Diceros bicornis minor: one gene and its partners. The protein of the gene in region 1 interacts with the protein of each later gene in a biochemical or structural test. Links are inferred from orthologs where the notes say so. Each region holds a gene or a part of one and is shown on either strand. Other genes may lie near its edges.

Region 1 (7,557 bases):
TTTCACCTACTCTGTGAAGGCCTTCCTTACTCTACCTTTTCAAAAAGAATGTTCCATGGAAAGTTTATACATGTCTGGCCAAAAAAAAAAGAGTTCTATGTTTAAAAAAATGATAATATTCTGGAGATGGACAGTGGTGATGGTCGCACAACAATGTGAATGTACCCAACACCACAGAACTGTACCCTTAAAAATGGTTAAAACGGTAAATGTTAAGTTACGTGTATTTTACCACAATTTTAAAAATTGGAAAATACTAAGTTAATTTCTTTACTACAGGACTTCTCAGGGCTTTTAATATGCTACATGGGTTATGAATCTCCAAATGAAGAAATATTATATGCAGCATTTACCCAATGTATTTGACCATAGTATCCTTTTATCAAAGCATTTCATGGGATTTGTTTTTCCAAACACACTTTGAGAAGTGCTACCCTGTTCCCTAGGAAGACTTCTTTGGTTATTTTGCCATTCTTCCATGTCACTTTACAAATAACTTGGTTATACAGGTTATCACACTGTACTTAAAGTGCTTCTGTGTCTCCCTCACCCACTACACTTGAAATCGCCTTAAGGCCAGAAAATACTGTTTTTGTTGATTTGGGCACTATCAGCACCCAGCACAGTAATCAGCTAAATAAACCAGCTCACGTCCTTTTCTCTTCCTCATTGTGCTTTAAGAAGCGTAAATGAAACACTGGGACGTGGCTTCCATCAAAACACAAAGAGCTTGAAAGCTGTAAATGCAAACCCTAAGTCAGGCTTGGAAAAGGAATGATGCTGTTCCCAAGCCTTATAACAGAGTATTTCTTCTCTTCTCACTACAGGCTCAGTTGTCAAATGTCCCAGTTTGGAGGAAGGGCCACTCGACAACTGGAAAGTTCCTGAGAGATTTCTAAGATTCTAGAGGAACCCAAATCTCTTCCATTTAAAAAATGATGAATTCCACAGAGACAGAAAGTAGAACAGTGGTTGCCAGAGGCTGGGGGAGGAGGAAATGAAAAGTTATTGTTTAATGGGTACAGACCGTCAGTTTGGGAAGATGAAAAAGTTCTGGAAATGGATGGTGGTGATGGTTGCAAAACAATGTGAATGTACTTAAATGCCACAGACTATACACTTAAAAATGGTTAAAATGGTAAATTTTATGATATATATACTTTACCACATTTAACAAAAAAGTGATGTATTCATCCATCTCCAGCCAGAGGCCAAGAAAAGCAGTCACAAAAGCATGCCAGCATGCATACTTTTTTTCTTATGACCAGGCTGATGGGCAGGCTTAGATAACAAGACCACAGGCAACATTCCGCTACAACTACTTGGCTCCCTCTCTTTTCTCTTTGAGTGCCTTACATCCTCTCTGATGGTGAGAATTATTAAATTTACTACTTGTCTGCCTGTCAAAGTACTTAATGCCTTAGTCCTTCACCTTCCATTCCCCCTCTCTCCAAAATTTCCTCCTATGCTCTATCTAGAAACCTGTTTCACAAAATTTCTTCAGTGATATTCGTCTTTGTAACTGCCAAACATACCTATTCCTCCCAGGTAGACTGCCATATCCCCTACCTCCCACCCTATATTATGGTCTCTCTACCCACACCCATATTCCTTAAGTCAGCAAATGATGTTTTTCCCTCTTGAATTCATTTCTCCATTCACAGGCCAATTGCAAACACTTTAGTAATATCTTAAACTGCTCATTTTGTCCCATATGTTTTTCCATTTGGATTTATCTTTTACAAAAAATCTTCCTAGAACACTACTTTTATCTTGTTTCCTTTTTTAAGCCCAATTAATGATGAAGAAGATGATAACAGCAACAATACAGCAGTAGCAGGAGCTAACATTTGAGGGCTTACCATGGGCAAGCTACTGTTCTTAGCTTTACATACATTATTATGTTATTTAATTCCCGAACAGACCCAAGATGTATATTAATCACATTAATATAACCATTTTACAGATGACAAAACAAAGACTATACTGCAGGGATTATTAGTCCAAGGTCTATACATCTAAAAGGTCTGTGAAAGTCCTTCAAGAGAGCATGAACCCCCTCAAATGACAATGCATAAGGTTGTGAGGATGTGCATCTGTGCATTTTTATGGGGAAAGGGTTCACAGCTTTTATTGGTATATCAAAAGACACAGAGCTCAAATATGATTATTAACTGCTGCTTTAACAATGGTTAAATGTTCTCAATTAAATCAAAGCAAAATTCCGGAGTCTGATGTTAGGTGTCTTCACTGATTAGAGCACCTCACCCCGATCTATCTTCTTTCCTTGTGAAATCATTATCATTGTCACCAGCTGATCCTCATGCTGTTCCCTACCTGGAACGCATCGCCAACTCCAAAGCCCACCCAGTGCTTCCAAAAGCTTAGCTGTGGACTCACCGTAAAACCTTCCTTGTCTACCCCAGCCCCTACTGATAATACGACCTCCAAGCACACACACACATTGCAACAGGCAGCCCCCCCTCTTCACCCATTCGTGCTCACACATACACACTCTGATGTGCATCTGCCTCACACTCCCTGACACTCTCCATATTCAGAGAGTGACATACGTAATGTCACACTCAGTAAACACTTCGTCACACCTTGACACTCATACCAAGAGCTCCCCCTAACAGCTCTATCTCAAACACACTGACCCAGACCTCAGATACAACCTCGGACTCAGTCACCAGGCTCACAAGCACAATCCGTCTGTCTGTCTCTCTCTCTCTCACACACACACACAGTGGCCCACAATACTGCCCAAGATCTCCCCGACAATCTCTCACATACTGACAATCACTGTGTTCCACAGACGCTCTGACAAACACCCACGGCCGCTCCCTCGCGCGCCCCGCCTCACCCGATGCTGGTATAGGCAGACGTTCCCGAAGCCACCGGTGCCCAGCCGCTCCCGCATCTCCCAGGGCCCGCCCGCGCCCGGCCGCAGCCCCGGGGGCCGCTCCATGGGGCGGGAGGGCAAGCGGCCTCAAGCTTCGCCACCGTTCCCAGGCCGGTTCCGGGCCGCCACAGCTCCCGCGTCTGTCTTCTCGCGAGATGTATGCGTCACTTCCGGTAACTGCTGGAGGAAAAGCCCGCCCCAAGTTCTCCAGGGGCGCCGCAGGAGCCCTGCAGGTGAGAGAATCGTGTGAGGAGAGTGGCGTTTTCTGCCCGCTCTCTAAGTCCCCTGTGCATTTTCCTGGCTGAGAGAACCAGCCCTGTTCCCTCATGTGTTTTTCTGGTCTTCAAGAATATAAGATCTCTCCAGACCCTACATTCCCTTCAAATCACTTTCCAAACCAGTCTCTCCAGTATTCGTCTTTTCTAGACTTTACATCGTCCCCACCCCTACCTACACTTCACCTTTCAGACTTCTGCCGTCTATCCTCCAACCTCATCACCCGCTGAGCTGGCACTGGCAAAGGCCACCAATGATTTAAATATTGAGGAATGCGAAGAACTAGAAAGAATCCTGCGCTAACAGGCCCACTGATGCATTAGCTTTCATAGTTCACTTTTTTTTCCCTTAATGATTAATCATCTTGCATAGACGAGTCAGGCTCAGCTCTTCTTTTGCTTGACTTCCTATACACCTGTTCCAGGATCTCACCTGTATGTAACCAAATGACTCAAGGATGTGACGCTGTTCCAGAGTAAAGAATGTTCCTCCTGACTTCGGGAGTTTCTCCCTAAATTCCTCACGGAGCTTGCGGTCAAATAGTCCTCCAGTTATGGGGTTTGCCGGTGCGGTAGTTATTCATTGTGGGGATTGTTTCTGATGCGTGATACAGGGCTACAGAGGCAAGCTTGGGAAATACTGTTGCTGCAACAAGAAGTGCTTCTGAGTGCCAGATTGCCCTAGCCTAGAGAAACCAGCTCCCGCTTTTCTGCTTTTCGCTTTGAGTGTCAGACGCTACATGGAACTTGGGGATTTCATCAATCGCTCCAGGTGTAACAATCAGCTAGAATCAAAATCTCTGATGAAATGTGTCAGCTGCCATAAGCACAGTCATTTGAGCCTCCTTTGAGATCATGTGCACTTGGACTATCATTTGCACAGCCTGGCCTGTTAACTCAGTACTTAGAATTCCAACCAACGTTTTGTGACACATGGTTGTGCCATGACAGATGTAACATGCTCAGATGTCTGAAGGTGGATATGGCACGTACACCACAGCACGCCATCAAAGCTAACTGCTTTGAAAGCACTGAATCAGCCTTTGGCAAAGCAAATGTGTCTGCTGTCACCAGAATCCCTGAACAGTTCAACCAGAATGTAGAGCACTGCATCATACAAACCAAGTCATGTTGTAGGTTGTCAGTAATGTGTGCTCAGTATCAGAGATTCTGATTTCACATAGGTGCTTGGTAGCCATGGAGTTGGAGTATCAGACTTTGAGGTGATGGCAAATAGTCTAAGAACATGTCCCTTAAAGCTGGGCATACTGCACAGATTGTGGTGCAGATTGTCCTAATAGTATGAAGCCCTCTTGTTTGTTAGATGTACAGCATAGCTAGCAATGGAGCATGTCTGATCTCCACAGGTGGGGCTGAAATCTAATTCTCACTTGGAAGAGCTAGGGAAGGATGCTGAGGACTTGAGGATACTGATGATTGGGCTGATGCTGAAGTAGCTGTCCTTGCAGGAAGTGGGTTGTTTCCCCTAGTTCACTCTTTAGACATCCCCATACTCAAGGTCACTGTGTAGCTTTTTTTTTTAAAAATCCAGGGCCAGTTGACCTCAGGCTCAACGATCTTCAAGTTTGCCATTCTTGGTTTTTTCATGTGTAAAATGGAGGTAATACCTACCTCATAAACGTTTTGTGAGGATTAAGTGAAAAAGTGTCTGTGTCATAAGTGCCCATTATATAGCAGCAAATCTCTTTCTTTTGGCTTCTAAGATACGGCATTCTCCTGTGAGCTTTCTCTCCAGTCCTTCATGTACTTGATGGATCATTCTATTTCCAAGCACTGCTTAAATACTGATATTTCTCAGGTAGTCATCTTCAGCTTAGGACTGTATTCACCCTTGTTTTCATCCATTCTCATAATCTCACCTATGGCCTATACCCTGATGATCCCTAAAGCCCTATCACCAACCCAGATCTCCATGTGTTTAGAACTATCTAACAGCACACGAAAACTCAACATATCCAGAGCAGAACTCATCTTTTCTTAAATCTGCCCCTTCTCTTCTCAATTAAACTGCAAACTCTGGGACAACAGGGACCATGTTGGAACATGGCTATACTCCTAGAGCCTAGAAAAATGCCTGGCATATAGGAGAGTTAAGTATTTGCTGAAGGACTGAATGAGCTCTTTTATATAAATAAGATGAATGCTATAAGAGAAAAACGGCAAAGGCCTTGGGGTGCTCCAGCTGCACCTTGCTCAAGGAGAAGCCACCTGTGAGATCCTGGGATAACAGCTGGGCCTAAGGCCCCGCCCCTCCTTTTACACACACATACTATTTCATTTCAATGGTTACAGGTAACATGAACACAAGATACTTTCCCCACCCAGGGAAAAGCATTTGGATTTTATTTGATAGTTTAAATGTTTTTGAAAATGTTGATAAACACAAGCTGTACTTGGAGCTGGATGACAGACATAGGATTATCATCCTAGAATGTGATTTTTTCCAAAAAAATATTCAATCTGAGGCTTCTTGCTGCAGGCAGCTTCCATGGGAATGCACAAAAAAGAGGCAGGGAAACAGTCCCCATGGGAGACTGCAGTTTCTTAAAAAAACAGACTGCTACTGTTTCCTGTCAAGTTCATAAAGTGTTTTGCCCTTTGCTTAGTCATCCAGAGTGAAGTCAAAGGGCTCAAAGTCTTTCCGGAAGCAGCGAGCCAGGGTCTCCTCCTCTTCCTTGCTGATCTGACACTGCCTCCAGTCAGACTTGTCAGGAATATTAAGGATGGCTTCACTGGCCAAGACCTCCCTGCAGAAAGAACACAAAGAAGTCAAAATGGACAGTATCAGCCCAAAATCCCCTCCCACCCATTCCTCTCCTGCCATCACCCCAAGAAGGTATGCAAATTCCTCTGACTTTGCTCATACCATTCTCTTGCCCTGAGTGCCATCTCTGCCAAAATCATACCCATTTGACCAGCTCAGGTCCTATCTCTTTCCTAACCCCTCAAACCCAATTTTCTCGCTCTCTCTTGAACAACTCAGAACTTATTGGTACTCAGGGAAGTAACACGGCATAGTAGAGGCCAGAGGGCAGACCCTGGTGTCAGAAAGATCAGAGACCGAATTCCATCCCTAGCTCTGCCACGTGCTGTCTATGACTTGAACAGATTACTCCACCTCCAAATCTTGATTTCCTTACCTATGAAATGCAAAATAAGGTTTTGTGAGGTATACAGATAACACAATCAAAGCACCAAACTAGCTGTGATTACATCCTGCCTTAAAATGGAGCTTTGTCACCAACTAGACCATGGGTTTGCTGAGGTCATGGTACACAGTCAGGCGCCACTCTGACTTAAAATTCTTCTACCTCTCCTTCTAGGAGACTCAGGCCTACATAGGCATAACAACACAAGCTCAGTGTCAACAAAACAACTTATCTTGGCTCTCAGAACTAAAGAATAACTACATACAGACACAGAGACAGACACATACATGCAAGCTACCTTCTAATTGCCACTGCTTTATATTTTTATTTATTTGTACTTATTTTGATATATTAAAAATAACTCTATCTGCACATCTACATGGTTCATTTTCCACTTTGAAGCTACAATAAATGGAAAAGTTGAAAACAAAACACACGAGTCTTCTAAAAGTCACAGCACCTGAGCTCAAGTTCTAGCTCACTGGGCAAAACTTGAGCCTACTTCTTCATCCATAAAATGAAGATAGAACCCCCTTTCTTGTACAGTGGGGAAAAAATGTCTTTTCAAGTATTTCAAAAAATACTTTTTAAGTATTTTGTTAACTATAAAATACTGTATAACTATAAATTAGTATTTTAAAAAATACTCAATGTTGAGCACAAAATCATTCAGAGAATCTCTCTTTTGTGGGCTTATGTGCCAGTGTGTATCTGCGATCATGTGCCTACGTCATCACTGTCCACATCTGCACCTATTGCTGAGGCAACAACAAAAAGATAATGTCAGATTTTTGAAGCTCCTAATACACTTGTTCTCATTTATCAATTATCTTTTTGAAAATGTAGACAACTGGACTTATCCAATGGTGGCAATCTCTTGGGAGGCTTTCCAAATTAGTTGAAGAAGGGTTCAAGGTTGCTTCAAAGCTCAGTTCTAACTGGGGAAAAAAACAGCTGCAAATCACAGACACAGCATCATATAATCTGTTCTGCCCATTTTTAACTCTCCTCCACACTATTATCTCTTTTTGCTAGTAACTTCCTGTCTTCAGTCTTTGCCTAATTTATACCACTCTCTGTATGGTTTCGTAGTCATGTTCTGCCTGATATGAAGAGCAGAAATGAAGCCTTATCCAGACCTTTAGGATACTGCAGAATAACGAGGTTAAGACTTCACGTTTTGGGATCCAACAGGCCTGGGTTTGAA
Region 2 (7,185 bases), on another chromosome or scaffold:
CACCGGGGTTTGGGGGAAAGGCTCTGCCTGGGAGGTGGGCCCGAAGACGCGAGGGGCGGTGGAGGGGCATGCTGGGGGCCAGAGTGTGGGCACTGGGACAGGCTGCCTGCAGTGGAGACCTGGCCCTGCCCCTCGGAGGAGCATAATCTCGAGCGAGCGACTTCGCTTTTCTGAGTCCCGGCTCCCCTTATCTTCGACATGGAGCTCCGAGGGCGCCCACCTCGGAGGGCTACTGTGACATGAGGTAAGTTAACCTACGTGAGGTGCTTAGAACAGCACCCTGCGGGGCGAGTGCTCAGGAAGCGGTGGCTATGGTCACGATCACGTGCCTGGTGTCCACAGCCACGCCCTGCGCCCCTCTTGGCCCCTGTGGTGTGGGTCTCGCCCCGTCCCAGCACCCCACAGCCCTCCTCAAAGGCATTCCTGGGAATAACCCAGTGGGAAGGCCCCGGTCCTCGCCCTCCTGCTTGAAGCCCTGACACCACCTCTCCAATCCCTCCACTGCCCTTCTCCACTCCTCCCCTCGGCCAGGCTCCCTGATTGCAGGTCTCAGGGCCCTGTCCCCGGCCCTCCCTGCTGTCTCTCTCCACCTTCCCAGGGCTGCCTCATCCCTGCCAGTGGCCTCAGCCCAGTCACTGACGATGTCACCTCTCTGTCCCCAGATCCAGGGTTCCCGCAGCCTCCTGGATGCCTCCCCCTAAGGGACCCCAGGCCCCTCACTCCCACCGAGTCCCAAACGAGCCTCAGCATCTCTGCCACACCTGCTCCTCCTCCTGGGTCCCATCTTAGCGTGGCTTCCCAGTCGGCCAGACACTTCCCGCCTCCCTCCCCTCCCCTCCCGCCATAATGTGTCCCCTCCCAGGGCTCCAGCTGGTCTAGCCCGTCCTCTCCCACCAGGGGCCCTAGGCTCTCAGCTTCGGTCTCTCCGGTCTACTCTGCTACCCTCCTCGTGATGGCCTGTCCGGGTCAGCCCGCTCGCCTCCACTGCAAAGACCCTTCCCTTTGGCTTCTCCGGTCTAATCATCTGATCATGAACAGCCAGAGTCTACCACGATATCGGCTCCACGAAGGCAGGGATGTTGCGTGTTCACCCCTGGACGTCCAGCACAAGAACAGGGTCTGGCACCTGGCAGGAGCTCCAGAACTATCCATCACTGAACAAATACCTGCTGTGTGCTGGGCCAGGGCTGGGCCCTGCAACAGACCTCATAAAAACACAATTCTGACCAACTCACTCTCCTGCTTAAACCCCTCCTACAACCCTCTCCCCCATTACTCCCTCTCAGGTTCCAAGCCTTTTAGTATAGGAACCTCCTTTCTAAACATATTTAAATTGTTTTATTGCTTTTTAAGATTATATAAACTTTGCAAAAACTCTGACCATTAGACAATGTATAACTTGGGCACTTGCCTGGTAATTCTCTCACCCACCCCGGCGAGATAACAACTGCTATTAGCAGTACAATCATTACTCCAGATTTTTTCTCTGCATAGAAACCTCACTATTTTTCCAGAAATGGGTCATACCATAGTACGATGCTGCACCCTGCATTTTCCTTGGAACAATACACTATAGACCCACCTCCTTCTTTTAAGCAGCTACAGAGTTGCATTGTAAGGATGCACCATAGTTCATTTCACCCGTCTACTGACAGCCATTCCGGCTGTTTCTAGTTTCGCCCTGTCACAGACAATGCTGCAATTTACATCCTGAATCTCTCTCTTTGGGACTGAGGATTCCTTTTTAACATGCAACCTTTTTCTCTGACAGTAGTCCGGCTTGGGGAGCCAGAGGGAGAAGCCCCGGCCTGATGGAGGCTCTTATACTCTCTTGCAGGCAGCTGTGGGGTGCTCTAGTCACAGCTCTGCTCTGTCCCCCATCTGAACAGCAGCCTCGCGTCTGTGGGTGGGCTGGCACTCTTTCAGGCTGCAGACAGTGAGGCTCTGTGGAAGGACTCGAGGGCCCTGCCCAGCACGTGGGGGCAACTTGGCTTAGGGGGAGCTGGAGGTGCTGGCGGGGCCTTCGAGCCTCTGTGAGGCGGCCTATCTACCTCTCCCCAAAGCATCTGGAAGGCACTGTGTGTGTCAAGTGCTGTGGGTTGCAAACAGAGGACAAGAGGCTTGACAACTCTGCCTCAAATTCCTCATCTATAAAATGGCCACGATAGATCTTGCCACGCACAGGGATGCTGGGAAGATGAAATGCGATGATGCATATAGAACACTAAGCAGAGCACCTGGTTGGAGTAAGTACCCATGAATATAAGTAGCTGACCACCCCAGCCACCGACTACTGAACACATCACCCTCTTTCACGCCCCTCCAGCCTTTGCACAGGCTGGACCCTCTGCGTGGAACATCACTTCTCATCTTGCCTAAGGAAACACTAAGGCACTCTTCACTTACTATGATGTGTCTGTACCTCAGTCTGACTCCTAGACCAGCCTGTGGATTCCTCCAGGGAAGGGACTGGCTGGAATCTCTGTGACCCCACAAAGTTGCCTCTGGGCTCCCACAGTGCCCTGAGCTACTTTCATAATCGCCCTGTAGGGTCATTTTCTAGTCATTTGTCCATGAGATCCATGAGTTCAGGGACCAGATGGGATACGTGTCTCTTCCAGCAATGACACAAATGAGGTTCAGAAAGGTTGGCGGAGGTGGGGAGGTGGGGGAGGGATCTGGGGAGAGGGCCTGGGGTTGAGGCTGCACGACCTTCTCTGACAGTCCCCAGAATCCACCATTCCCCAGGAGGCTGACCGGGGAGGTGGGGTGAGGGATTGGGGCAGCGAGCTGAGGGCCCTGGGATAACTGTCTCCCCTCTGTCACCTCCCCCAGGGGAGTGGGGTGTGGGAACAAGCACATCTCTCTCCTTCCCTCCACCCTTTCCCCATCTCACCTGAGCTTCCTGCACCTTCCCTGCCTGGGTCTCCAGAGGGTCAGAGGCTGGGGGAGGAGGGGGAGTAGATGTGGTTACAGTGGGGGGAATGGTTAGGGGGAATGAAGGGCTTCAAAGTAGGGGAGCAGGGGGCAAGAAGACTCACCAACCTAGTTATACTGGGGTGGGGGCAGTGGTAGTAAAAACGGAGTAGAGGGAGGGAGGGGATGGGGAAAAGCAGATCTTATTTGAGTGGAGAGGGCTGGGGGGAGAGGCGGTTAGTGAGGGACAGAGGCTGGGACGGGAAAGTTTAGGAGAAGGAGGAGAAAGTAAAGCATATAGGGCATGGAGGAAGACAGGAGGAGGTAGGGAGGACATAATAGTATGCGAGTGTGTGCGCGGAGAGGGTCAGGTTTACAGGCAGAGGGAAGTTTAGAAAGTAAGAGAAGATGAGAGATACTCTGACTGGAGGCAGGTTTGGAGAGGAGGCGTGGTGGGAATGGTAGGTTTAGGAGAGGCACAGGAACTAGAGGGAAGAGACAGGAGGGGATATAGGGGTCCCCTAGCTTCCTACAGCTCCCTCCATCAACCAGATACCCTTAGCAACCGGGACCGCGGCAACCTAAGTCCTTAGAAACGAAGGTCCTTAGCGACCAAGGTGCGAGAAACACGCAATCATGGGTAACTTGGGGGACGTGGCAAACGGACCCTTAAAACCTCGCGACCCAGAAACCCACCGACCTAGCAATACGGATCACTTAGCAACGGCCCGCCGAGTCCCACTCGCCCCCCTACGCAGCCCCTATCTGCTGCCCCATCAAGCCCACCCTCGGGCCCCGGGGCCTGCAGCCCTCAGCCAGGCCCCGGCGCGGCCCGACCCTCCCACCGGGGCCCCCGACTCACGGTCCGGCTCGGCCATGGACGCGGGGCGGGAGCCCTAGGAGCTGTCACCGACTGCTCTGTCCCGTGACGGCACCGGAAACAGGAGGGACAGACATAGGGCAGAGAACTACAACTCCCAGCAGCCATCGCGGCCGCAAACAAGCTTTCGCAGCCTCTCAGGTAATGAAGACTCCCGAGGGCCAGACTACGAGTTCCAGAGTGCCCCGCGCCAGCAGCCATGTTGGTAAAGGGCGCCCGGAAAATGTGGGAATGGGTAGAGAGCCGCAGTCCATCTGAATACTCTGATTGGTCACAGTGTGGTACGGGGGTGGGGCATGTGCTATTTAGCCCACGCTGATTGGGTGAGTCAGGGGGCGGGTTGGGGAATTCCCCGCAGGGCGGAAGCGCCAGACATCCAGGCAAAGCCCAGCGACGGGCGGGCGGCCGCTGGGGGCCCCTGAGGCTTCGGGGGCCATGGCCGGGGTCGCGTGCTTGGGGAAAGCCTCGGACGCCGACGAATGGTGCGACAGCGGCCTGGGCTCTCTGGGTCCGGATGCGGCGGCCCCCGGAGGACCGGGGCTGGGCGCGGAGCTGGGCCCAGGGCTGTCGTGGGCGCCCCTCGTCTTCGGATACGTCACTGAGGATGGGGACACGTGAGTGAACCTTAGGTTGCCTAACCGGGCCCTAGGATCCGACATCTGATTCCCTGTTAGTTTCTGATCCCGGCTTCCCAACCTCTCATCCTAAATCTGACTTCTGATGCTTGACTTCCTGATCTCTAACCCCCAAGTCCTAACCTTTAATAAGACCAATTTCCTCTCCAGCTTTGATCCTAATCCAATAATTTCTGACCGTTCTTTCTTGAACTCAGGTTCTCAGATTTCCACATCCCTATCCATTGATCTCAAAAGTCAATTTAACCTTCCTGACCCCAGTCCGGAGACCTTTGTTAGAACTGTAGCTAAGGCAGGCCCTTCCTGACCTCTAATCTCCAAATATGATCGTTGATCCTTAGCTCTTGATTTATGAGCCTTTTTCTTTGATTTCCCAATTAATACTTGGCCTTTGACTCTAAGATCCCACCTTCTGAGCACTAGTTTTCAAATCTTACATTCAAAGAGAAAATATAGGCTCTGTGACAGCAGGGATTCATCTGTTAAACAAATATTTATCAAACGCTGCCATGTTCTAGGCCCTGTTTGAGGTGCTGGTAATAAGGCAAGAGAAGAAAACAGACAAAAACATATGCCCTGTGGAGCATACATTCTAGTGGAGGTATGTGGACAGCCAGACAGACTGACAGACAGACAAGAAGGAAGGGAGGAAAAAGAAAGAGAGAGAGAAAGAGAGAGAGAGAAGAAAAGAAAGAGAAAGAAAGGGAGAGAGAGAGAAAGAGAGAATGAAAGGGAGACAGAAGGAAAGACAGACAGACAAGACATGGAGGAAGGCACAAAGAAAGAAAGAGAAAAGAAGCGAAAGACGGGAAGAAACTAAGACAGAAAGAAATGAAAGAAGAAAAAGAGAGAAAAGTGGTATGTTAGAAAGCAGTAAGTTCTTTGGACAAAAATAAAGCGGGAAAATGAGACAAGTAGATTGTCTGGGGAGAAGAGCAGTCCAGGGAGAAGGAACAACAGTTGTAAAAGCCGAGGGGGGGTTGTCCCTGGGTTTGTGTGTTGTGTTTTCTCCTGTCTCCCCATAGGAGCACTCAGTAAACATTGATCTTCTCAAAGAACCAGCTTTGGTTTCATTACTTTTCTCTATTTTTTTTTTCTTTCTATTTCATTGATCTCTGTTCTGACTTGCATTATTTCCTTTCTTCTGCTTACTTTGGGTTTAATTTGTTCTTCTCTTCCTAGTTTCTTAAGGTGGAAACTGAGGTTGTTGATTTGAGACCTTTCTTCTTTTCTAATCAAGGTGTCGTGTGCTGTAAATTTCCCTGAGTACTGCTTTAGCACTATCTCACAAGTTCTGATATGTGTGTTTTTCTTTTCTTTTTTTTTTTTTTTTTTGTGAGGATATCAGCCCTGTGCTAACATCTGCCAATCCTCCTTTTTTTTTTGCTGAGGAAGACTGGCCCTGGGCCAACATCCGTGCCCATCTTCCTCCACTTTTTATGTGGGACACCGCCACAGCATGGCTTGCCAAGCAGTGCGTCAGTGTGCGCCCGGGATCCGAACCAGCACACCCCAGGCCGCCGCTGCGGAGCCCACGCACTTAACCACTTGCGCCACTGGGCAGGCCCCTGTGTGTCTTTATTTTCATTTCAATTCATTTAATTCAGTATAATTTCTAATTTCTTTTTGAGTTCTTCTTCGGCCGGTGGATTATTTAGAAGCATGTTATTTAGTTTCCAGATATCTGGGAGTCTTTCTAAATATCTTTCTTTTATTGATTTTTAATTTAGTTCCATTGTGGATGAGAACATACTTTGTATGACTTGAATCCTTTTAAATTTATTGAGACTTGTTTTATGGCTCAGAATGTTGTGTGTACACTTCAAAAGAAAGTGTATTCTGCTATTGGTAGTGTAGTGTTCTTTACATGTCAGTTAGAGGTTGTGTTGGTTATAGCATTGTTCAAGTCTATATCCTTGCTGTTGAGTTTGTCTCTTTGTTATATCAGTTGTTGAGAGAGAGGTATTGAAATCTGAAACAATAATTGTGGATTTGTCTATTTCTCCTTTTTGCTCCATGTAATTTGATGCTCTGTTATTAGAGGCACAAATGTTTAGGATTATTATGTCCTCTTGATTAATTGATTTCTTTATCATTATGATATAACCTTCTCTATCCCTGCTAATATTCCTTGCTCTGAAATCTACTTTGTCTGATCAGAAAATACTCCTGCTTTCTTTTGAGTGACTCGTGTTAGCCTGGTATATCGTTTTCCACCCTTTTATTTTTAACCTTTTTTTTTTTTTTTTTTTTGGTGAGGACGATCAGCCCTGAGCTAACATCCATGCCAATCCTCCTCTTTTTGCTGAGGAAGACTGACCCTGGGCTAACATCTGTGCCCATCTTCCTCCACTTTATATGGGACGCCGCCACAGCATGGCCTGACACGCAGTGCATCGGTGCACGCCCGGGATCCGAACCCTGGCTGCCAGCAGCGGAGCGCATGCATTTAACTGCTACGCCACGGGACCGGCCCCCTTAACCTATTTTTTAATATTTATATTTAAAGAATGTTTCTTGTAGGCAGCATAGAGTTGAGTTTTACTTTTTAAGTCAACCTGACAATTTCTGCCTTTTAATTGGAGTGTTTAGGCCGTTTACATTTAATTTAATTATTGATACGGTTATGTTTAAGTTTATCAGCTTGTTATTAGTTTTATACTTATGTCTTCCTTGTTTCTCTTTTCCTCTTTTTCTGCCTTCTTTGTGAAGGAGTAAATATTGTTCCATTGTATTTCTTTTGTTGGCTTCTCA
Region 3 (7,261 bases), on another chromosome or scaffold:
TTATTCACTACAGAATTCAGTTTTGGATTTTAAGAACATGCAAATACACGTAAAATATTTAGATGGCTGGTTAAAAAAAGGGAATCATAAATATATACATATGTGTATATATAGACACATACATACATATATTTTTACTTTAGCTTAAAACATAAATAACAAGGTTTTGTTTTATATGGTGTGAGGTTTTTTTTTTTTTTTTTTTGTGAGGAAGATCAGCCCTGAGCTAACATCCATGCCAATCCTCCACTTTTTGCTGAGGAAGACAGGCTCTGAGGTAACATCTATTGCCAATCCTCCTCCTTTTTTTCTCCTTTTTCTCCCCAAAGCCCCAGTAGATAGTTGTATGTCATAGTTGCACATCCTTCTAGTTGCTGTATGTGGGACGCCCCACAACATGGCCAGAAAAGTGGTGCGTCAGTGTGTGCCCGGGATCCGAACCCCGGCCGCCAGTAGCGGAGCGCACGCACTGAACCGCTAAGCCACGGGGCCGGTCCCAGTGTGAGGTTTTTTAACCCGTATTTGGCTGTAGGGCCTCGGTCTTTTGAGTGTGGGTCCACTATTTAGAGTCCCATGTATCTTTCTCACATATCTCGTTGTCTACAATTTTCACTTTTAATTCTTTTAAAACAAAGTGAAAACTGATGAATGCTTGCAAAGTTCTAATAGATTTGAATGCTTTTTCCCCAATCTTTTACAATCGTCATATCCACAACTAATTTGACAGAGACTTTTTTTAGTGTCTTACCTTCATTCATTCTTTCAAAGCATTTAACTTAGTTTTCATTGGAACAACTTTCTTTTTGCACTCACATACATTTTATTAATCCAATAATCAATTTAATAGTATTTAATTAAACATCATAGGGACAGTTATAATAGGTGTAATCAGGTTTGGGAATAGGTATGATGGTTTCTCTTGGGGCCCATAACTCAGCAGGTGGGAGCAGAAGTGTGCCGGTGCCATGAGCATTCATTGTGCTCTGGCATCCTCTGCATGTTGTATGCCACACCGGGAATGATAGGCATCTGTTACTGGGTGAGTCAGCTAAATGGAGGCTGGTTAAGAAACTTGCTACTATAGTGTCACCTACAGTGTCCTTGTAGGGGGCCAATTATCTCACAAATGATAAGATTTCCTGACTTAGAACTTCTGAAAACATCTGGGACGTGTGGTGTCTGGAAAGAGCATGGAGAAACCAAGTTCTAGCTCCAACTCTACTGCAAGTATTTCATAATAAGTATTTACAAGCCTGATAGAACACCAGTTTTGGCTCTATTCTCAAGGTTACATTCTTACTCTTTATGTCTACCTAAGACAGATCTCACATACAGAGGCATGAAAACACACACACACACACACACACACACACACACGAGTGATGGATCTGAAATTCTACCAGAGTCAGCCCAATAAGTACCCACTAATAAAAATATCTGTAGATGGGAATGTTTTATTTATTTAATTTTGTAAATACAAAAACAACAAATAATACTCCCAGAGAAGAAGAAAATTCCTTTCATGTGCATAGCAGGTGCTTAATAAATACATGATGAATGAGGTACAGGCTGTAGAATCTGTTCATTCTAATATCAGTGATATTTATGCACAATGAGGAAATGCACCAATATCAAACTGGATCCTCCAAATGAATGTGGTGTAGGAACTGAAGTGTGACTTTGGCACTTCCCAGAAGCACTATGTGGAAGCAGTGATCTGTAAAGCACAGGCATAAAGGTTACTAAAGTTGTCATGGCATAAAGGAAATCACTCACAGCAACGTTTCTATCTGAGAGGGGATGGAAATAAAGAACTTGGAAATAGTAACTGGAGTGTTCAGTGTACAAGCAACCTTTGAGGAGATACAAGTCTCCTGTATGTCATTAAAGAAATCAAATTAAGGCAATTCGACATATGCTTTGTGCAGTAATTTAAAGCAGGACCCAAGAGCACCAAAACCAGAGCTAGGGTCTTAACCATGCTTAAGACACAGAAACCACAACAGCAATCATCTCATGGGATGATTCTCCTCAAAGAAGTCTTTGTATTAACGTATGACACAGGAAGAACACCCCTCTCAGTCAAGGAAATCCTCTATTTTTCTCTCTTGAAAAAAAGTCAGTTTGTCAGTGTATAGATGTATAGTGACAACTGGAATATTTACGTAAAAGATTAAGGGAAAAATGACTCAAAGCACCAAAAACTAGGTGAAAGACCAGCACTTAGGTTTCTCCACGGCAGTGTGCCGTGGATGGAGGAGGGCAGAGAGCTATGGCTAGTTGATAATGTTGCATTTGGTACTCCTCTCACTTGGTCCCATTTTCATCACTGTGTACAAATACAGAGGCAAAAGTAAGTTTTGCAGGAATCCCTTTCTACTTTGCTACTCTGGCCAAACTTCAAAATTGGAACAAACTTTTGAATGTCTTTTGAAAGGGATCCACTTACTTCTCTCATTCACAGGCACCTGAGCATGTGTATGCACATGTAAAGGTTTTTCGATCTAAATAGGAAACAGGAAAGTTTATCCTTTTCAATTTAGGATTTGGTGGGTGGGGCCATCCGGGAAGACCTGGGAAATAACTACTGTTTGGTTTGGATGGTACACTTGGCTACCATTAAAAGCGCGTATAATTAGAGCCTAAATGTAGACTTAAAATTTTAACAGATTTATCTAAACTTTCAAAATTTGTACCTTTGGATGTAACTATCTTATGGTAGATGTTGCAGCAGTATTTAAAACATTGAGCTAACATGAAATCAGGACAGTTTAAAAAAATCCCTGGGATATCAACATCCTCCTCAGTTAACATTTACACCCAGGAAGGGGGCTTTCATTTTATCTACCTCCAAGAAGTCAAAGGAATTGTTTTGTAGACAGTGCAGACTTATGTCTAAATATATGAAGTCTGACAAGATACCTCTCTGCTTCCTGTTCTTGAGGAACCCTCCCCCTCTCCCTCCGCCCCGCACGACTTAAAGTTTCACAAAGTCAGTCCAGGGACTCTACACCCGGGTTGCGGGAGATTTCCCATCACAGACAATCTGGCTCGAGGAAAAGAAGGGAGGGGAGAAATAAACTTGACGCAGAAGCTCTACTCGCCTGAAGAAAGGTCGCAAAGCATTAACGCGTAAATGGTGCTTTTCCCTTCCAAAGCACCTTATCGCCGAGACGCCCCCGGGGACTGGAAGGGTTGGGAACGCCACGTTAGGCAACGCGGCCACTGCAGGGGTGGGGGCGGAGGCAGCCCCGACCCTGCCGGAAAGAGGGACGTGCCGCACGCCGCATCGAATTCGAGGAGGGCCAGAACCTGGCCGAGGATGACAGCGAGCACTTCCTGGCACAGCGTTGGTTCCTTCCCTAAACGTGCTCTATCTGGCCCTGTATACCGCTGCCTTTCCCAAAGACAGCGGAGCTAAAAATAAAGATCCACAGGGACCCCCGCCCTTCCCTGTCTCTCTAGCCGGGGGCGGGGTAGGGGGTAAGAGAAGCGTCCCAAATCGGTGACTTTAGATTGCGAACAAGACATTCCAGGAAACTTTCAAGTTTTATTTGTAGCACGAGCCGGAGGGAGGGGAGAAAAGACCAGGAAAGCTTTTTAAAAAAACTTTTTTGGTGCGCGGCAGCACGTCTGCTGAACGTTAGGTTTCTTTCGCTTTGCAGCCGACGACAGCCCCGGGCGCCACCTGCGTGTCCCGCGCGGAGTGGGGGGGGCGGGTTGGTCCGCGCCCGGGTTCCCCGACGCCCACTGCAAAGGGCAGTGCGAATGACAGACTGCAGGCTCTCTCGCCTGCGTCCCCTTCAACGCACCACACACCTAAGTTCGAACTGCAACTCCCGTCGGGCGAGCTCCGGCCGAGCCGGGCCGAGATTGCGGCGGAGAGGAAGCGGCGCGCTGCCGCCCCGAGGCCCCTCCTCTCGCCGGTGCAGCCCGGGACTACCTGGCGGCGCGGCGGGTGCAGCGCGCAAAGTCCAGGGCGCACCCCCGGCGGCCCTGTCCGAGCCCACCTCTCCGGGCCGCGCGCGGGGCCCAGCGCACAGCTCACTCCCCCCACCTGCCAGCCGCCGTCCCCCGCGGCCGAACTCGGTGCGCCACCCGCCCGTCCAGGCCGAGCGCCCGGCGGGCCGCGCTCACGCAGTTGGCGCAGGCGACCCTACGCTGGCGGCGCAGCGCCCGCCCGTCCGCCCGCCCCCTGCACTCTCCCCGCCCCCTCCCTCCCTCGCAGGGGCCGAGCGAATGTAGCCCGCGAGAGAAAATGGCGGCGGCGGCGGGGAATCGCGCCTCGTCGTCGGGATTCCCGGGCGCCGGGGCGGCGAGCCCCGAGGCGGGCGGCGGCGGAGGGGCCCTCAAGGCGGGCAGCGCGCCCGCGGCGGCCGCGGGGCTGCTCCGGGAGACGGGCAGCGGGGGCCGCGAGCGGGCGGACTGGCGGCGGCGGCAGCTGCGCAAAGTGCGGAGTGTGGAGCTGGACCAGCTGCCCGAGCCGCCGCTCTTCCTCGCCGCCTCGCCGCAGTCCTCCTCCACTTCCCCGTCGCCGGAGCCCGCGGACGCGGCGGCGGGCGGCAGCGGTTTCCAGTCTGTGGCGGTGCCGCCGCCCCACGGAGCCGCGAGCCGCGGCGGCACCCACCCTTCGGAGCCGGCGGCCGCCCTGGACAGCGGCGCCCCGAGCCCCGCGGGGGCCGAGCCCGGGGAGAAGCGGACGCCCGCCGCCGAGCCGCCTCCTGCAGCGGCCCCCGCCGGGTGAGCAGCGCGGCCGGGGGCGCGGCGGGGACTTGGGGGGCGGGCGAGCGAGGGCAATGAATGAACCCCGGGCACGGCGCACGGTGTGCCGGGGCTCCGCGCGGAGAAGCTGCGCGCCGCTCTCCGGGACCCGAGTCCCCGGGCACCCCCTTTGACTTCTCCGGGGTCGGGCGGCGCCCTGGACCTGGCCTGAGGGACAGGACGGGGGCCCGGGGCGGCGACGTGCCAGAGAGTTTGTTATTGTTTGCAGACATGCGACAGGCGTGCGAGGCGCGCTGCGGGGACCCGTTAAGATAAGATGTGGGGGCCTGGGCTGGCTTTGTGGGGCTCCCGGAATCGGGGCTCTCCGAGGAGCCCCGGTGCAGGACCCTGGCGCTGCCCTTGGGGCCGGGCTGGGGGTCGGGCAGCAGCCCGGCGGCGGCCTCTCCTGGCCGAGGGACGACGGGGATGAGGCCCGAGCCTGCAGGCGGGTGGTAGTCAAAAAAGGGGCGGGGTGGGTGGGGACCCCCAGCCAGAGGCCCGGTGGGGGGGCCGGAGGGCGGAGGAGAAAGCGGCGAGGTCCCCGCGGCCGTGACAGGCAGAGCCCCTCGGCAGGTACTGGGGGCCGGGCGCGGACGGAGGCGGTGCGCCCGCAGGGGGCTCCGGGTGGACGGCTCGGTAACGCCTGTCAAAGCGGTGCGGGCGGACGGCTGCAGACTCGCGGGGGCTTGCAGTCTTTTAGGAGCTGGTGTTTTCTAATTGCGTGCCCCACTGGGGCTCCGGGTGTTCTTGGGAATGAGGACTGCATCGCTGAGACTCGAGTGACTTCTGTTTGGAGTTTGAATTTGGCCTTTGAAGTTTGCATTTGGCGGAGTGGTGTAAGAGCCAGGACCGGATGTGTCAGCCATTCAGTTTCAAAGCGGCGGGGACTGCGCCCCGCAGCCTCTCCGGCGTGGTCGGGGACCGCGGCGCGGGTGCGGTGTTTCCCACTCGGTGCAGCTGCGCGGGCCGCCGCCGACTGCCGGATTCCGGGGGCCACAGCGCGGTGGGCTTCGCCTCAGGTAGTCCTGTGGGGTCTGTGCATTACGGTGTGTGTTAGGTAACTCAGACCAGCGGTTCTTGGCCTGACCCTTTTTTGGCAACTGGAAATGTTCATGTTAAAGGAAATTCTTCTAAGTGTGACAGCCGTAATCCTTGTTTAAAAAAAAAAATCTGACTGCTGTATGCAAAGCACAGTCTCCATGGGTATTTTGAGTTGCTGGAAGTGTTTTTGTGATCGTCACCCATTGCCCTGTAGAATTTTCTGAGTTTTATTCTGAGTATTTTAAAGATCGTGTCTTATGTTTGTTTCCCATGTGAGACGAAGTTGACAGTAGGGATCCTCGGTTTTGGTTAGTTATCTAAAGTGATTTGGCAATTTTTTTGAACTTGATTATTTATTTGTTAAAACTACAGTTCGTTTATTACTTGCAAGTTGCCCCCTCCACTACCCCCCCAACCGTAAAATATATGGTCAGCACCGTGCCATGGCAATATTGAGAGGAAAGGAGATTTGTGGCTGTGATAGTTCTGTGTGCTCTTGTGCGTGTAACTTAGTCTTAAAAGAGTTATGTTCCTCTACACTTTCCTGCTTCTGTGCAGATTGGATTAAACCTTCACTAGAATAATTCTTTGGAGGCAGTTGTTACTACAAATGAGTTCCAGATAAAAATATTAAATCCCAAATTTGAGAAATTAATTGTATCTATCCTCATGAGACCAAGTTTTTGGATGCAGTAAATAATTTAGCAAGTGTCGTGAATCTAGTAGAAGAGCAACCACTGTAAAAATAACGTACAGAAGCTGGTTAGTGTTATCGCCACACAAAATAAGAGGACTAAAGTGGAGGCACATAGAATTCAGGGACTAATTCATGCTTAATTCAGGAGTAATCCATGCTAAATTTTTGCATTTTAAAACCTAGGTCTTTTCCCCCTCTTTGTTTAAGGGGTGATAATAATCGCACAGTATATGAAATAATGGGCTATTCAGCATAATCATTTTTTTAAATGAATTTCATGAGCCGGAGTGCTGTTTGTTCACTCCAAATGTCATACCTAAAGATTTCATTGATAGTAAAATGTTGATTCTCTGTCCTTTTGAAATACAGTGAGTTTTTCCCCAATATCCTTGTCAGTGGGGTTGAAGTATTTGGTGTAAACACTTTGATTATAAGCAGTTCAGTAAAATCTCAACTGAAATTTATGTTTTACTTTTTTGACAGTATATAGTTACATTCATACTTTCAGGAGGAAAATCTAACATTGAGATTTTGGAATATTTTTATGTTTCTGTGGTAGTTTGGGTCTGGAGATTCCTTCTTTCTAGAGACCTATGTTTTTTTTTTAAAGAGAATTCTATGATTTTTTATTTCAGAATTTCCTTCAGTTTTTGATATTTGTAGGTAGAAATTCAAAGTGTAGAAAATACATTTGTAAAGTGTAGATTATATAAATAATATTCATGTTAAAAATAGAAGATTTTAAGTTTGTCCGTCTTCTTC
Region 4 (7,679 bases), on another chromosome or scaffold:
CACTGCTTCCCCCTCAAGTCCCTCCAACCCAGGGGTAGCAGTGGATTCCCGGCCACCTCGCCCTCTCTGGCTGGGCTTCCCGGCTCTTCCACCCTCCATGTAACCAATTCCTTGCATTAAATTCCAGGTTTAAAAAACTCAGAATGAGTTCTGCTTCCCTGGTTGGGCCTTGCCTGATACAGTAACTCTATCCATCCTCTCATCACTCTCATCACCTGGAATGACTTACGTCCTCATTTGTAGTCACTTATTCAAGGTCTGGCCACCCACTAGACTAGAAGCTCCCTAAGGGTAGGGACTAGTCTGGAGGCTTTGCGCTCCCTCCGCAGGGCCTGATGCAGTAGGCGCTCAGAGCATCATATTTGTCCCTGGCCGCAGATGAGACCTGAGATAAGGTCACTTGACTAGGAGGCAATTAGTGGGTGTCCATGGAGAGAAGGGGTGGTGGGCAGAAACCAGACTGCAAGGGGTACATGCAAGTGGGGAATGAAGCAGACACCAGGAGTACCAAGAAGTTCGGGAGTTGAGAGGGGAAAGAAAGTTGGGTCAACAGTGTAGGAGAAAGCCAGGATAGGGGAAGGGCTTTTGTTTTTTTTTCTTAATTTGTCTGTTTTTAGGCTGGGGAGATGATCACATTAGGAGGTTGAGAGGAAGAAGCTAAACGGGAGAAGTCGAAGGGCAGGAGATGCAGGGACATCGGAGGTGGAACACATGACCTGGGTGGTCTCTTGGGAGGATTACATCCACCAGCAGGGTTGAGGACAGTATGGAGAGGAGACTGGAGGCAGGGACGCGAGTTAGGAGGTGATCACCAATCAGGAAGTGAGAAGAATTTGAATCAAGCCTTAACCCAGGGCTCCCTAAGAAGGCTCCAAAGTTGGGAGAGGTCTCAGAAGGTATGTCCAGGACCTGCTCTGGTAAGGTCGTTTTTGCCAGGGAGACCCCCACCCAGGCAGCTCCGTCCTTTGTGGAGATCAGCACCTCTCCTCCTCACTCACATCACCATGGCACCACCTCTTCTCCAATAGCTCTGTGGTTCCTTGTAGCCCTTTCCATCTCCCTACGTGGGGCACAGAATTGGTCGGGGGCAGTCAGGGTCCAGAATCTAGTAAACGTTTAACAACAAGCTCGGGGGCGGGTAGCCCTGCCTTATACCGTTTGCCAATTTCCACGGTGTAAATACTCCCACCATATCCAGTTTCAAGCTACCAACGTGAGGTCACCAATGGCACAGTAGGAAGAGAGCTCCAGCACATCACTGCCTGCAACCATTCCCTCCCCTGCCTCCATGGCCCCTCCACAGACTCTGGACTGGGCGGAAGCAATGGGGCAGGTCCAAGCCTGGGAGGGCAGCGACAGCACCACAGCTGCAGCCTCAGGCAGACCCCTGATAGGGAAAGTAAAACTGCCTCTCCTCCAGGAACACCCACCCACAGCCCCCAGTCATCTCTGATCTCAGCATCTCATCTGAGTTCTTCTCAAGTATAACTACAGGATCTCACAGAAATCTGGACCTGCGATCCACAGACACTCAGATGATTCACAAGCCACTTTCTCACTAGACGTGGCTGGACATCATGAACTGGGCTGACTAAGGCAATAAAAACCAGAATATAATTTCCTTTCTTCCAAAGCAAACAGAAAAGCAAAAATGATCCAAGGATAGCATTCTCTCACTGATGCACAAAATGCACTCACTCTTCACCACACTTCTACAGAACTGATGGGCAACTGGCTCCTTATGGCCCAAAGTCTCTTTACAGAGTCCTGCACGCAGGAGGGCAGGGGCCCTGGGGTCCGCCTGGTTTGAATCCCAGGTCTTCTATTACAGCAAAGTGACTTTGAGCAAGTTACTTCTCTCTGAGCCTCAGTTTGCTCATCTGTGAAATGGGATGATAAGTAAGAGATACTTACTCTATGGGGTTAGACTGCAAGAGTTCTCAACTGGGGGCAATTTTGGAGACATCTGGCAATGTCTAGAGACATTTTTTGTTGTCACAACTGAGTGCAGGGGCCTAGTTACTGGCGTCTAGTGAGCAGAGGCCAGAATGCTGTTAACCATCCTACAATGCATATGACAGCCCTCCACAACAAATGAATTATCCAACCCAAAATGTCAATAGTGCAAGGTTGAAAAACCCTGGGCTAGAGGGAATATTCAGTGAGGTTATGCACACAAAGCACTTAGAAGTGTCTGATTTACTTTTTGTAAGCTCTCAAAAAACAGAAGCTGCTATTCTTTTTGGAAGAGCACAGTCTAACCCTCCTATTTCCAGACTTGAACCCTTGGGGTGGGATATGGAAATCCTTGAGTGCTGAGAGCCTGGCTCACTGCTCCAGGTGTGAGTCACCCTGTAAATGTCAATTTATTTTATTTAAAACAGAGCTGAGGCTGCACAAATGACTCAGGGCTAGAAGCTTTCCCAGGTTGTCGTGACTTAACTGGCTCGGCTGAGAGGAAGTAATTTTGCCCTGAAGCTCTCCTTCCAGAAGGTGCAAGCATTTTAAGGCTCCACAGTGCTTACTCCAGTGGGTGTTGTGTTGTTTCTCACCTCACCCTACACACAGTGGGGCTTGGAAAGACCTGAGAAAAGCAGCTGAAACTTCGAGGCCCTGCTTGTCCCAAACACCGTCCTCACTAGTGTACGGTGGTTTGTTTCTCCTCTGCAGCCTGATGTGAAATTCCTTCTCACGAGTCACAGTTTTGGGTCAACACAGCCCACTCTCTCCCACTAATACACATCTGTGTTCACGGATGGATTTAAAGACAGATAATCTTGATGGGGGGGGGGCGGCATGGAGGTGAACCAGGACCAGAGAAGTCTCAAGGGAAGCTGGGTAAAGTGTGTGGGCATTGGCTGTCCTAAAGAAGGAATGGTGAGAGAGGGAGAAGGCAAAGGCGAGCCAGGGAGTGTCTGCAGACTCTGGGCCCATGCCCACGACTTTCCTGAGAAGTGGTGTGCCCAGAGGCAAACAGGTGGTGGGAGAGGCTACAGGCTTGCTGATACCGACCTGTAACCCACCATCTGGCCAAGTTCCGCCTCTCCCTGAGTCACTGAAATGAAAAACCCTGGCGTTGGAAGGAGCTTTAGGGTTCACTAGCTTCTTTCTTGCCCACCATCTCCCAAGCCAGCCAGCGGCAGAGCCAGTTTATGCATCAGAGACCATCCAGCTTCAAGCATGCGCACCATGGGGGCCACAACCTCAAATGCTTCAGGGGCCAGACGGACGACATAAGGTTAAGAGGTTGAGTGTAAAACAGGGGTAGGGGCTGTGGGGAACTGCAGGCTCTGCGCTAAGGCATTCAAACTCAGTTTTAAAAAAAACATTGGGCCAGCCAAACAAAACATACCTATGACCTGTGTGAGTGGGTGAGGCCCTTAGGTTGTGAGTTTCCCACCTCTGCCTAAATAAATGGTCTTACCTATCCCCCAACAACGGAGATGTCTGTTGGGTGCAGATCTCCAAAAATAGTTACCAAAAACTGTCTGAAGAGTGATCCTGAGCAGGTGGCCTGGCCTTTGTTCAAACACTGCCAGAGATGAGATGATCCTTACTACTCAAGACAGCCTGGGATGCGACCTGCCTACCCCACCACTGAAACCAGTTACTACACCTGCCTGCCGTGGACCACTGATGAAGGTGTGGTGCCCAGGTACGTGCACATCTTTTATTTTGCCAACCTTTAAAGTTTGGAATTTTTTATTACAAATCAAATACACGCTCACTGTAGAAACGATGGCAAGGGCAGATAAACGAAAGTTAGAAAAGAAAAAATGTCCATACCTCCCCTAACCGCCCAGCCCCCCGCCTCCCATCAGAAAGAAGCACTGTTGACACCTTAGTGCGTATTCAGACTCCAGGTCCTTTTTTTGCATAGGTAAAGCTCTCGTCTTTCCGGCTGTGTAGTACTCGCACCACGTTGCTTCTCCGGCTGTGGGAAGGGGGTGCACCATGCCATCCGCGCGCCTTCTCATCAGACCTCGGTTTCCACACACAGGTGTGACCTGTGTAGGCCTTTGGCTCCCCAAGCTTCTCGAGCAGGCACCAGAACCTGTCTTACTCGTCCTCAGGGACTTTACAGTGCTAGGGACATAGTAAGTGCTCAATAAAGGTGATTCTAACCGTCCCCCCGCCTGCTTACGCCGCCACAGCCTCAGGCAAAGAGGAAGCAGAACCAGACCCTAGAGACAGCGCCTCGCCGTCTCCAAGGTAACCGAAGTTCGAACCTGGGGAGTGCCCACGCATGCGCACACTCGCCCTTCCCTCCCGTAACCTCCAGAAGAACGCAACCCGTAAAAAGACTGCCACAGCCGAGCGCGCATGTGTGGTTACACCTACACTCGGGTCGCCTCCGCCATCTGTCAATCCGTCCGCCCAGCAATCTCTTCCCTATAAACATCGTCCGGAAGTAGTGCCCATTTCTGAAAACGAGACCTCGTTAACCAATCGTTGCTAGGGGCGGTGCGCCGGGTCTAGCCAGGACGCGCTCTCATTGGTTATGTTGGAAGAGTGGGCGGGGCCAAAGGTCGAGGTGCGGCCACAGCAAGGAGGCGCGAAGCGAGGCAAATTTGCAGCCGCCGGGGGAGGCGTGGCCCCGGGGGAGGCCGGGAAGGCAGTGAGGGGGCGGGACCCGAGTCCGGGGCGGGGCGACCGTGGGGCGGGGCGACCGTCGGCCCAGAGAGCAGCGGTCGGCGACCGGCGGCGGGAGATCGCGGGTGAGGGGAGCGCAGCGCTCGCTGGTTGGGGAGATCGGCGCTCGGCCGGTAGGTGACGGGGCGGGACCCCGGGCCCGGAGCGGGGATGGGTCGCCCCTCAGCCCGGGGCCGGGCTGCGGCCTGGCCCGCCGCCCCAGAATGGGGGGTTCGGCGGCGCGGCCGGTCGGACCCACTCGCGCTCGAGCCCTCGGCCCTGGCGGCCGGCAGCCGGCGCGCCCTCACGCACGCTGCCAGGGCCACGGTCGCACGCCGTGCTCGCCGCACCCCCGCAGGCCACACGCTAGCCCGGAGCGCGCGCAGGGGTGCCCTGCTTCCCCTTCCCCGACATCCCCATTCCCCGGCGCTCCCTGCCTCACCAGCAGGCCTGCCTCTCCTGCTCCGGTCCCCGGGTGCCCCCAGGAGGGGGCCTCGTCTCGGCACGGGACGGAAGGTGTCTAGTGCTCAAGTGCGCCCGGTCTGTGCGCTCTCCCACCTGCCCTGGCAGTGAAACCCTCTGGCCTTGCCTGGGAAGTTCTCGGGTCACACCCCGAGGCGGGGAGAAGGAGGAGAGCCTGCCCTTGGCACCCAACGGGGTAGTGCTGGCCACTCGCAGCATCCTCTTCCTTCCCGTGACCCCTCTGGAATTCTTCGGTCCGCTCCACTCAGGACTTGATCTGTCGGCTCAGATATAATATTCCCACCTTGGAAGCCCATCGTGACCCTGGCAGCCTGCAGCCACCCAGCACCAGGGAGAAAGAGGCCACTTGTACAGTGCAGAGAGTCCCACCTGCCTCCTTGATGTTGAGTGACTTCAGAAAAAGCGTTTCCTTCTTGATTGAAGTTAAAGTGTTGCTCTCAGTCCTAAAGGGTGGACTGGGGAATGAGAGTGAGGAGGAGAGGATGAGTGGAGAAAAGATCCAGAAGTTAGTGGTGTAATTGGCAAAATTATTTTTGTTAACTGGAGACGATGAACACCAGTGACTTGATTAGGACTCTAAAAGCAAGTAAAGTTAAAAGATGAGAGGTGGGGCCTAATACAAAATAGCAGTCTGAAGTTTATTCCAGGAAAAATGTTGAAAACCCCTTGACTAGAAACATGGTCTTTCTGAAAGATTAGAAGGAGATAGTGTCTTCACATTAGTGATGTGTTTTTTACTTAGTATCTTCATACCTGTAACCTTTTTCCTTCAGATGTCTGTGTGATGGGATAGATAATATTGTCCTATTTTATAGGTGAGGCACCTGGGGCAGGAGGGGAGAGGGAGGTATATATCTTGCCTAATGCCTCATAGCTAGGACTCAGGATGAGGACTCCAGCCTGGGCCACTGGAGTCTTGTCCAGGCTCCTTCCCCTGGACCAGGACCACATTATGGGACTTAGATGCAGGAAGGAGGGAGAAGTGTTTGGTGTGATATTTATGCTCTTAACATAAGAGGACAGGTGCTTGTCTTGCTTACGATGTGTTTGGACTTACTCTTGGTGTTTTCGAAGTGATGTCAAAGTGAGTTCTTTTGGTGCAGCCATGCCAGACCTCTAAGTTTTTCAGACACCTTTAGGACATCCTCATTTATTTTGAAGGGTGTGGTGAACTTCTCAGAAGGTCTCAAAATAAAAGTAATAGTCTCTGACTTTAATTTTAGAAATACTTGCCCAGGTATACATTCCAGCACTTTTGTGAAATCGGACAGCCATAAGCTGCCAAACTGTAGGTCATTTTCTGACCGTTTTCAGATTATAGGAAGCAGTTCTGAAGGGGGTTTTTTGCCCCTGGTGTTGCCTGTTAGAGTTTGTGGGAGAGGCACCCCAGACAGAGACCCTGCCAAACGAGCCTTCATCTATTAAACAAAAATGTCTGGTTGGCCGTTCCGCCTCAACAGATGGAGGTTTGGTTCCTCATTTTGGTTCTCCTGTTGAACACTGACTCCTTTGTGATCTGCTTGGAGTGTTTGTATATCATTTAATGTTCAGAAGCAGGCTCGCCCTGATTGGTTGGTTGTCTAACTCCAGGCAACTGTTGTGATTTTTTTGGTGGGTGATAACAGTTCATCGTGGCCGAGGTCTGGTGAGAGATCTGTAGAGATGCGAAAGAGGTAAAGCTTCATCCAGGGTTGTTTTCTTCATTGTTGGCATCCTCTTAAGAGTGTCCTGTCACTTTGGCCTGTGAAGCCACTTTTAATTTCCTATTTTTTTCCTGTCTCAATGGATAGCACATGAGCTTTCCTAATGGGCTCCCTGCCTTGATGAAGAGCTGACAGACTCATGGTGGTTGGCTTGACAGATGTTCTTTCTGGGAGGATAGTTAAGAGATCTTAAAACCAAATTCAGTCCTGAATTAAAAGTATAAGTCAGCTCGATACACATATAGGCAGCATATTTGTACCAATGGCTTTTATCATCTCAAAGCTGTTTTTTTTTTTCCTGGCAAAAGGTTAAAATGCAACTAAAATTCTGCTTTCATGATTAATAAGTCACTACCGCAGTTGTGTCTGATGCTTCCTGTTTGCCCCATTTTTGTATTTCAGTTAAACTGGAAACATCTGAGCATTATGGGCACTTTTGATGGCACCAGTGTGAAATTGGCGGGAAGGGGGACAATTCCTGTCAGTGGATTTGGGAAACTCTAAGGATAAGCCAGCCCCTCTGGCCTCTGCACACCCAGATCCTCAGGAAGGGAAAGGAGTGGGGGTTGAGTCTCTTCAAGGGGTGGGTGAGCATTTAAAGTGATGCACGTGTGAAGGCTTTGCATTTACTTGGTGATGCTGACTGAAATGTTGAAAGCAGTAGATTAGAAATGGAAGGCCAAATATAGGGCAAACTGTGTAGTAGAACATTTCAGTTGAGCTGAGCAAGACATTGAAGTATGTCAGATATGGGGTCTTTAGTTCTGGGCTTGTCTTACTACCTGAGTGACAATGCAGAGAAAAGATGTTTTTCCTCAGTGGCCTGTGTGCCCGTCTTTGTATTCTAGTTTAAAAGATCCT

The links. The genes of interacting proteins can lie anywhere in the genome.
Region 2: of the proteins of CHUK (region 1) and NFKBIB, one has a biochemical effect on the other in vitro, tested with the Homo sapiens proteins (2 studies listed by BioGRID). The link is inferred for Diceros bicornis minor from reciprocal best matches to the Homo sapiens genes CHUK and NFKBIB.
Region 3: of the proteins of CHUK (region 1) and MAP3K1, one has a biochemical effect on the other in vitro, tested with the Homo sapiens proteins (3 studies listed by BioGRID). The link is inferred for Diceros bicornis minor from reciprocal best matches to the Homo sapiens genes CHUK and MAP3K1.
Region 4: of the proteins of CHUK (region 1) and MAP3K14, one has a biochemical effect on the other in vitro, tested with the Homo sapiens proteins (5 studies listed by BioGRID and IntAct, with this or other methods). The link is inferred for Diceros bicornis minor from reciprocal best matches to the Homo sapiens genes CHUK and MAP3K14.

Annotation. Positions count from the first base shown.
Region 1 is NC_080745.1:65,541,879-65,549,435, forward strand, and holds the start of CHUK (inhibitor of nuclear factor kappa-B kinase subunit alpha), read right to left. Parts: upstream 3,011-7,557; 5' UTR 2,972-3,010; coding exon 2,867-2,971; intron 1-2,866. Other genes in the region: CWF19L1 (CWF19-like protein 1), read right to left, coding at 5,804-5,948.
Region 2 is NC_080773.1:13,004,741-13,011,925, forward strand, and holds the start of NFKBIB (NF-kappa-B inhibitor beta), read left to right. Parts: upstream 1-4,182; 5' UTR 4,183-4,231; coding exon 4,232-4,410; intron 4,411-7,185. Other genes in the region: SIRT2 (NAD-dependent protein deacetylase sirtuin-2), read right to left, coding at 2,897-2,943, 3,779-3,794. UniProt on the Homo sapiens protein: Inhibits NF-kappa-B by complexing with and trapping it in the cytoplasm.
Region 3 is NC_080759.1:19,158,983-19,166,243, reverse strand, and holds the start of MAP3K1 (mitogen-activated protein kinase kinase kinase 1), read left to right. Parts: upstream 1-4,258; coding exon 4,259-4,740; intron 4,741-7,261. UniProt on the Homo sapiens protein: Component of a protein kinase signal transduction cascade. Activates the ERK and JNK kinase pathways by phosphorylation of MAP2K1 and MAP2K4. May phosphorylate the MAPK8/JNK1 kinase.
Region 4 is NC_080757.1:43,655,548-43,663,226, reverse strand, and holds the start of MAP3K14 (mitogen-activated protein kinase kinase kinase 14), read left to right. Parts: upstream 1-4,676; 5' UTR 4,677-4,766; intron 4,767-7,679.